Linked DNA regions of Arabidopsis thaliana. The protein of the gene in region 1 interacts with the protein of each later gene in a pairwise test. Each region holds a gene or a part of one and is shown on either strand. Other genes may lie near its edges.

The links. Proteins that work in one complex are often made in the same cells at the same time.
Region 2: the proteins of AT1G33490 (region 1) and AT5G11680 interact in a protein complementation assay, tested with the Arabidopsis thaliana proteins (one large-scale study listed by BioGRID).

Annotation. Positions count from the first base shown.
Region 1 is NC_003070.9:12,149,940-12,154,488, reverse strand, and holds AT1G33490 (E3 ubiquitin-protein ligase), read left to right. Parts: upstream 1-2,028; 5' UTR 2,029-2,212; coding exon 2,213-2,289; intron 2,290-2,377; exon of another isoform or gene 2,378-2,584; coding exon 2,585-2,655; intron 2,656-2,762; coding exon 2,763-2,868; intron 2,869-3,022; coding exon 3,023-3,155; coding exon of another isoform or gene 3,156-3,188; exon of another isoform or gene 3,189-3,407; coding exon 3,408-3,548; 3' UTR 3,549-3,801; downstream 3,802-4,549. Other genes in the region: AT1G33500 (tropomyosin), read right to left, coding at 1-54, 174-221, 418-522, 617-664, 749-803, 889-947, 1,072-1,205, 1,499-1,585 and 1 more; AT1G33480 (RING/U-box superfamily protein), read left to right, coding at 4,368-4,549.
Region 2 is NC_003076.8:3,757,057-3,761,703, forward strand, and holds AT5G11680 (classical AGP protein), read left to right. Parts: upstream 1-1,752; 5' UTR 1,753-1,929; intron 1,930-2,336; 5' UTR 2,337-2,406; coding exon 2,407-2,516; intron 2,517-2,750; coding exon 2,751-2,862; intron 2,863-2,988; coding exon 2,989-3,060; intron 3,061-3,151; coding exon 3,152-3,378; intron 3,379-3,475; coding exon 3,476-3,578; 3' UTR 3,579-3,857; downstream 3,858-4,647. Other genes in the region: NADP-ME2 (NADP-malic enzyme 2), read left to right, coding at 1-33, 121-198, 324-398, 494-584, 678-806, 896-984.

The DNA of each region.
Region 1 (4,549 bases):
TAGAGCTGTGTATTCCTCTTCTAGGATCTTAATATCCACTGACATTAACTCTGGCTGCATTGTTGACGAATTCAGAAAATAGTATAGTATCAGATGCAGGGCAAAATCTTACATGACTGAACTCATGCAACAGCAACATCACAATGCTAGCAAAGATTACAGAGGGTAATTACCTTAAACTCATTAATCTTGTGCTTCACATTCTCAATTGATAGTTTGATCTGAAATGAAATTATATAATTCAGAGTTGCTTAAAGAGACAAATCTGTGTACTCCAAATTGTTTTTCTTCTTATTTAAGGAATTACTGGAAAGGGAAAAGTAACTAAGTTTATAAATAGGAAACAACACATATCCCAAATACAAAGTGCTAGAACCAAAACTACCAATAGTAAAAAGTGGATCTGAAGTAAATAACCTTCGAATTTTCCTGAAGAAGGTTGGATCTCATCAGTTTTGCTTGATCAAGCTTTGCTCTAGCAGAATCTGATAGTTCCATCAGGTTATTCCTTGTCTCTTTTTTCTGAAGTATCAAGGATCCTAACCTCAGTTACTATGGAAATATTGAAAGTGTCTTGTAATGAAGTAAGCTTATAAGTATTCATAGGAGAACGAACATGTCCTTGTTGACCAGTTTCATTGCTCATATGGGAGATAAACCAGCCCTGGCCAAAATAGGACAACAGAAAGATAACTGTGTTGGTAAACAGCCAATGAGATCACATGAACAGGATATGCAAATAACAAACCTTTTGCTCCTCTAGTTTGGTTCTAGCTTCTTCTGCCGTCTTGAGATAGTTAGAACTACAATTAGATACAATGTAAATTCACAGGAGTCAGGTGATTCCAAAACCGCAATCTAGATATAGGGAGATGTTCTCTGAATTACCGTTTCGATACGAGTTTAGCAGATAAACTGTCTCGTTCTTGAAGAATAAGCTCCAAACTCTACAACAAAGGATACATGTTTACTAAGTGTAAGCACAAGATATACAACTGTGTGACAAATCACAGTACTAACTTCTGCTTCTACAAGACATACTCATGGCTTTCATAAGAGTTTATTAAATACCTGTGCAATATTAACTGAATCAGATTCCATCGACGAAATTTTCCTCTGCTTCTCAAGTATATGTGAGCATATCTCACCTCTTGTCCTCGTCTTCTGATCCGTCTCCTCTTTCAGTCTCTTCGTCTCAGACAATGCTTCGAATAGTGATACCAAAATAAGAAAACTCAGAATAACATCTCATCAAAAAGAGTATGTATGAAGCTGTGTACATAATGATCCAAAACAACCAAATCCAAATCTGAGCGAAGACATCAATGATAGCTAACAGCAAAAATATGTCAATCTATGGAGTTCCTAAACCAAATTACTTCCAATTAGCAATAATATCAACGAAGATCACGACCTAGAATCTTCCGTACGATTTCGTCCATATCAACGAAAAGTTTCTAAAATTCGAAAACGCTGAGAGAGATAGAGAGAAGCTAACCATGTTCGAGATCTTTTTCCAAGGTACTGATTGTTGTAACCTGCATCTGTTCCTCAACGGAGACCTTCGCCGCATGATCCTCCACATCTAACCTCAATCGAATCAAATCGCCAGTTGAAATTTCACCTCAAATCGGAAAAAATCAGAAGCGGAGATGAATATTATTACCAGTCATCTGAGAACGGAGAGTCTTCATATACTGTAGATACTCCTCCATCTCTTCTTCTTCTTCTTCACTTCTCGGATTTCTTCAATTCAAACCTAATCAATCAAATCAGAGAAATATATGAAATTTTTAGAAGTTTTGAATCAGTTCTTCACACGAATTTGAAGATCGGAGAAAAATCTTTACGCGAGCTCTCGCCTTCTGAGAGATTTCGAAATGGTGACAAATTTTTGAAACTAGCGGGAGAACGATAATAGTAGCATCTAGAAGAAGAGGGAAGAAATTACGACCGGGTCGACCCGGTTTAGTGATATGGACTTTATAAAGCCCAATTAAAAAAACACGTAAAAGCCCATTATAATTGTTTTAACCCGTTTACCCGAACCCGGTTCGGGTTCCTTTTAGCGGTGGAGATAAGAGAAACCGATTTGAGTTCTTCAGGTGTCAGTAAACATCATACAACTTCAAGTCTTGATTCAATTACTTGTTGGAAGTGTTCTTCGTCTCTAACTTGCTGAGAAATTCATCGAATTTGTTGAACAATTCTTATGGCGATTTCGAAAGGTAGATTGAAAGTTTGGTTCGATAAGAAGATCAGTGAACCACTTATCCAGATCTTGCGCAGGTTCTATATTCTGTTACTCTCTTCATATTTTGTTTTGATGAATTGGTCTCTATGTATCGTAAAGTTGGTTACTTGTTCATCGATGTAGTTTGATACCATTTCGTGGAACCAAGTAGATAACTTGTGCTACATGTTCACCTTTAGTATTGCTATGTGGGTTTCTTATTTTCAACACTAGAGACCATTGTGAAGAGTTGTGTAACCATGTAGCTTGTAAAGACTCGCCATTTTCTGTGTTGTGAGAGTGCTGATGTCGTAAAAATTTAAAACCAAGCTTGATTTGTTTCCCCTTTAGAGGTGCTGAGCCAAAGCAGCTGGCTTTTTCTGCGGCATTGGGTATTACCATGGGAGTATTTCCAATCTGTGGTGCGTTCTCGTGCTACTTTCTTTTGTGGAATAGTTGCTCATAGAACATTATAGTGTTTGTGAATCTCTAAAGCATTTCACTCAATGGGATATTTGCGTTTTGATAGGTGTTACGGTGTTACTATGTGGAGTGGCTATTGCGTCGCTTGGATCTCTTTGTCATGCTCCAACTGTGATGTTGGCTAACTTCATTGCTACTCCAATAGAACTAAGGTGACCAATTACTTTCCACTTCAAGTTTCCTTTAAAGTTACCCCTTAAATCAATACAAAGAGACAACACAAAACAGATTTTTATTCATTTTTCCAGTTACCAGTATCAAATTGAACCCTTATGTGTATTTTTTAAAATGTGTTTCACGTTGAAGTCTTGTGGTGCCTTTCTTACGACTTGGCGAAAAAATAACCGGTGGACCTCATTTTCCTTTAACATCTGATGCCCTAAAGAAGGTTTTCACAGGCCAAGCTTCCCGAGATGTTTTTTTAAGCATTGGAAATGCGGTAAGGTTCTTCTGTCTTAGCTTAGTGGTGTAGATGTTGGTGATTTCTATTTGATGCGAAGCTGCTCATCGCATTTCCTGCCAGAATCTTTAGGTTCAGTATCTTCCAAGTGGGATTTTCTCTAGTATGTTGTCATTTGTCAGTGTTTTTCAAATCTGAAGATAATATTGGTTTCCTCTCGTGATTTATGTCGATGACAAGTTGGTTTGGGTTGTCATATAACTGGCTTAAAACAAGAACTTATTTATGCAGCTACTAGGATGGCTCATAGCGGCACCATTTGTGATCGTTGCACTATACATCATGTTTCTCCCATGTTTCAAAATACTTGTCCGCAAATTCAGCTCTGTTGATTCAACCGCAAAGACACCTACAAAGGAAAGGATCGCGTAAAATGAAACAGTTATCGGTTTCAACAAAGCTAGAGCGTTGGAGATCCTATGACCTCATGTTCCTGCTATATCGATACTGAGGTCCGTGTTTGAGTTATCTGTAACAATAAACCTCCCTGTAAATTACAGTGTTTGAAACAGTTTAGGCCTTAGAGGGAGAATGTCAAAGGAAAATATAGAAGATAAGTCATGTACTCATATTCATGTCCAACTAAATATATAATGAGAAAGGCAAATGAATGTTTTCAAGACAATCAAAAGTACCCTTGAACTAACCAAGTCCTTGTTCTTCTTTATGGATAAGTACTTTATGAATCTAGAGAGAAAAAACAAAAGCAATCTGGTACGTGTCTCCATTTGGTTACAAAAGAGAACAATCAAGACCTTGAGGTTGACAACTTGGTGATGGCCAACAAAATGAAGGATTTGTCGGATTAATGGATTATGATCGGTGCAAGTAATAACGTTTCCCCTCCTCTTTGTTTCTTGTTTGCTTGTTCGGCCAGAATCTACGGGAAAAGTTATCTAACATTTCAATAATCTCTCAAATTCATTATTAATGCCCCCTAACTTTTTTTAATTTTCCTCTTTAAAAATAACAAGGAAACAGACAGTTGCCCTATACTGAAAGCTAAATGCTTCACCTGAAACCTCTCCTCTGCCACATCTCTCTTTCTCTCTCACACATACATTATTTCAATTATTGTTTTTTTTATAACTCCAATCTTGAATCTTGACGATCTCTGGTTTCTTCATTCAAAGGAGGAGACTTTTTGGGGTTTTTAGACTTTGCTTGTCTAGTTTTGTCTTGTGTGTGGTGATGTCTTATAGTAATTCAAACCCGGAAAATTATTCAGCTGCAACGAGCTCGCCGGAGCTTAAACTATATCAAGCATTTATCTTTTCTGTTCCAATTTGTTTCACATTTATTATTCTCTTCTTGTTTTACTTGATCTACCTCCGTCGTAGTAGCTCTGATTTGTCTTCTCTTGGAATGCGAAC
Region 2 (4,647 bases), on another chromosome or scaffold:
GAAGTTGTCGAGGCCATGGCTACCAACAACGAGGTTTCTTCTTGTTCTTACTCTCTGCTTTTTCAGAAAACAAGGTATTTATGCTATTTTTCTAATGCTGGTCTTGGTGTTGGCTTATAGAAACCGTTGATTCTTGCTCTCTCAAACCCTACTTCTCAAGCTGAGTGTACTGCTGAACAGGCTTACACATGGACCAAGGTATAATATTGTCTCATATGACATCTAAATGTGATTCATGTCCTCACTCCTGATTATACAACAAAATTATAATTTGGTTTTCATGCTGCTCCTCGAATCTAATCATATATTGTGCTTAAAAAAAGGGTCGTGCAATCTTTGGAAGTGGAAGCCCATTTGATCCTGTTGTGTACGATGGCAAAACCTACTTGCCTGGCCAGGTTCGTGCTATTTCAACAACTTCTTCTCTCTCAACTTTGTACATCTGACAATCTTAGAGCTCACATCATATTTCCACTATCCTACTTAACTTCAGGCAAACAATTGCTACATTTTCCCTGGTCTGGGTCTTGGTTTGATCATGTCTGGGGCAATTCGTGTCCGTGATGACATGCTCCTCGCAGCTTGTAAGTAAAAATAAACTTCAGAAAATCAAACATGGATACTGATAAAGACACTTAAAGATTCTCAATGTCATCTCTCTCTCATGTTTTCAACAGCTGAAGCATTGGCCGCACAAGTGACAGAAGAGCATTACGCCAATGGTCTGATCTACCCGCCATTCTCAAACATCAGAGAGATCTCTGCTAACATTGCAGCCTGTGTCGCCGCCAAAACCTATGACCTCGGTTAGTTGAATGAAACTGTCTTAACTCTTTTAATGAGACTGTCTGAACTCTCTAATCTCAAGTTCTAAAATCGATGTATTGTGGTGTAGGATTGGCGTCGAACCTGCCACGTGCAAAGGATCTTGTCAAGTTTGCAGAGAGCAGCATGTACAGCCCTGTGTACAGAAACTACCGTTAAAAAAGTTTTGTTGAAGAAACCTGCAGATTATACTATTCACAACCCTTGATAGTTTCTTAAGGCTTGTATTTAAGTTTTTTGTTTGTTTGTTTGTTGTTTGTTTTCTCTTCTACATTATGATGCTGTTTGTGAACTCTCTCTCTGTCTTTGCTGATAAATAATAAATTGTTACTAATATAATCTACAAATCATTATTGTCTCAAAGTTACACTTTCCATCCCACATCACAAAATCGATCAACTTGTCTTGGAAGGGAATAATATGCTTTTTTCTGCCACTTGTTGTATCTTATTGGTTGTTTTATTAAAATGGTATAATTGTTGCAGAATTAAAGAACTTGTATCATTATTTTGAAGAGTTTATCAAAAGTTTCATATAGATAATAGGACTATAGAAGCATAGCTGAATACTCTTTTGAAAGTGGTTTCTAAATTGTACTGAGCAAAATGTTCTAAAAACAACAAAACTCCTAATCTTAAGCTAATGATTTTGGCATTTTAGGTAACTACTTGTTATAAATAGCTAAAACAATAACAAGAATCTCTAAAACTCGTCTTCACGTTTTGGTTAAAATCGAAAGCTCAAACAATCCAAACCAAAACTAAACCGAAACAAGATGTCAAAAAAATAAATAAACACCTAAACCGAAACCAAAGTTAAAACAACTGAAAATGGGCTGAACGGTCCCTTTAATCTGAGATGTAATAAGGCCCAAATAGTAACTGTAGATGGGGACAATTGTAACGAAATCAAATTGCGGGCGAAAATCGAACTAAAGAAATAAGTAGAGGGACGAATAAAATGGTTAGAAGGTTTTAAGAATAAACCGCGTCGCGTCTCTTTTCTGGAAAAAACGAGAAACTGTGATCTTGGCCCTTTTATTACCCCTATCCTCTTCTTCTTCAATCTCTCCGATCAAAATCCTTTTAAGCTCTGTAGACCCAGGTATGTTCCTTCAGCTTTTCTATTCGCGAGAAAATTACGAGTAAAGGATTGCTTGAAATTGAACTTGGATCGTTCTGTTACTGCTTTCTTATTGCTATCAGATTTTGATTCTCTAAGGAATTAGATATTTTCTTTGTTGATTGATTTGTTTTGAACACGTATTATTAATCCTAGTCTTTGTTTCTACATTATAGGAACGTTTCGATTTGAATTAGCTAAAAACCTCAATTTTATTTGCTCTTTTGCATATCTGAAATTGGAAGCTGATGATATGTGGATGTTAATTGGCTCTAGTTACTTGGATCTGTGAATAATTATTTGCTAATTTGGAGCATGTTCCTTTGAATTATCTTCTGATTGTCTAAGTATATTTGGAAATGTGTTTATATTCTCATTTGTGTGATCAGGTTACGCAGAGAAGAAGAACAGAACAAGGAATTATATAATCATTGGCTTGATCAATCTGAATTGCAGTTCATGGCGCTAAACCCTCAATTACTACCCAATGGGATGCCTGTTCCCTTTGTTAATGAAATGTTCGTCCTAGTCCGAGATGGTGTTGAGTTTGAAGTCGACAAGATCCCTGGGTTCGTGTTCCCTTCTCTCGTCACGCATGTTTTGGATCTCCTTAAGTGGTTTATTGATTTGATGATTATTGTTGGTCTCCATTTTAGTACCGTTTTGAGTCGGTTTAGATCCACTCATCTAGCATATGAACCATTAAGTTTACTTGTAAATAAGATAAGTCTCAGAAGTGAACAGACATATGAGCTCTGGGCTTTAAACACTTCCCTGATGTTCTTTCTTGTTGTATGATCCAGAGGGCATGGAGGTCATGTTAAGGCCAAGGGGGTGATTTACTTGTCTAATATACGGATGGTCTTTGTTTCAAGCAAGCCTGTTGACAACTTTGTTGCTTTTGACATGCCCCTGGTACAGTAACTTTATCTTATTTTTGTCTCTGATTTAGTTAATACATGGCACAAGTGTAGCTCTGTTAAATTTGGTTATGGAACTACATGCTACATATTAGCTTATGGATTATATGTTACTCTGTAGCTTTACATCCATGCCGAGAAATTTAATCAGCCAATATTTCACTGCAACAATATTGCTGGACAAGTGGAGCCTGTAAGTACAAACTTTCATGGAGAATTTATAGTTTCTTTCCTTGTAAGGAAACTATACATATTTACTTATTGGCATGTAACAAAATTTCCAGGTGGTGCCAGAAAATGAGCATAGAGCTCTATATTCAACACACAGTTTCAAGATCCTATTTAAGGAAGGTGGTTGTGGGACATTTGTTCCTCTCTTCTTGAATCTCATATCATCAGTGAGACAATACAACAGACAAATGCAACAAGCAGCAGAAGCAGCAGCGGCAGCTCCTCATGTTGATCCTCTTCAAGCCGCTCAGACACCTGTGGACGAAATGATGAGACATGCGTAAGTCCCATCAGAAATCAATCGGAAAGTTTTTTGATAGTAGTAAAAGCTGTTGTTCCTCATAAAATCTTGTGTGGTCGTCATTGTGTATGTGCAGGTACGTGGACCCTAATGATCCAACGAGGATATATCTGCAACAGCCATCAGGGGAATCTCAGTTGAGGCGTAGAGCTTACCATTCGGGTGCGGCGGAACATTGAGATACACGGAAAAAAAAAATACAAAGGCTATGAATACAGAAACAGCAACAGATTAGTGTTGCTAATAAGCAAAACGTGTTGTTTGTTTGTTTAAAGTTGAAAACTAAAAGTCTAAAACCATCTGTGTAAAGAAAGATGAGACTTGTTTGGTGTGTGGATGTATCTGGTAAAATTGGAGTCGTAATAATCATAAGTTTGGTTCATATATTGAACAAAATGTGGGTCGAAAACCCTGCCGGTTCGCCTGAACCATGAAAAGTCGGATTTGGCTGATCCGCACGCTCAATTTTCTTCAGCTAAATCGCGAATACTTGAGCTTGTAGTAAGTCGTGGCCACTAGTGGGACACACAAAACCACAAAACATATATTTTGCAAGCTAAAACCCAATGGACTAAGATTTGAGGTTCAGGGTTGGACCATAAAATTTGGAATGGATAATCGGATACTTTAGGTTGGGTTGGTAGTTTTCAATATTGAAATTGGGTTTTTGGACCTTTCCTTAGTTTTTGATTTAAAACAAAATTGTAAAAGAAAATGAAAATACGAAGGTGGCATTCTAGCTTTATTTTCCAGAGAAAGTGGCTTTCCAGCCATTTATTAAAAAAAACAAAGACCAGGGTGTTTTTTTTCTGACAAAACAAATTGTAACACTCACTAGGCATAGCATTCTAGTTAGTTCTGCAGAAATTTATAGCGACACTGGTCCAAATTAGGAGGAGCGAGAGCGAAGGTACGAGTGAGGATTTACAATTGTCGATCGTTTTCACCTAGAAACCCTAATTTCGGGGGCTCGCACGCCCTCTCTGATTAGAAGCGACTTCATTATCGGTCACTAGAATCTGCTGCTTCTTTTCTGGTTAGTGTTTAACCAAGCTCCGTTTTGTTTGCTCTTAATGGAATCAGAATTTCTATCATTCCTAGATTAGTTTCTGTGATGTATATCTCTGGTATTCGGATTCTTGTGCTGAGCTCAATTCATAAGCGGAGGATTTCTTAGCTTCGATAATTAGCCCTTTTCAAAATTTGCAGCTTTTTATGCGGTTTGTTCTTAAGATGATTGGTTCATTC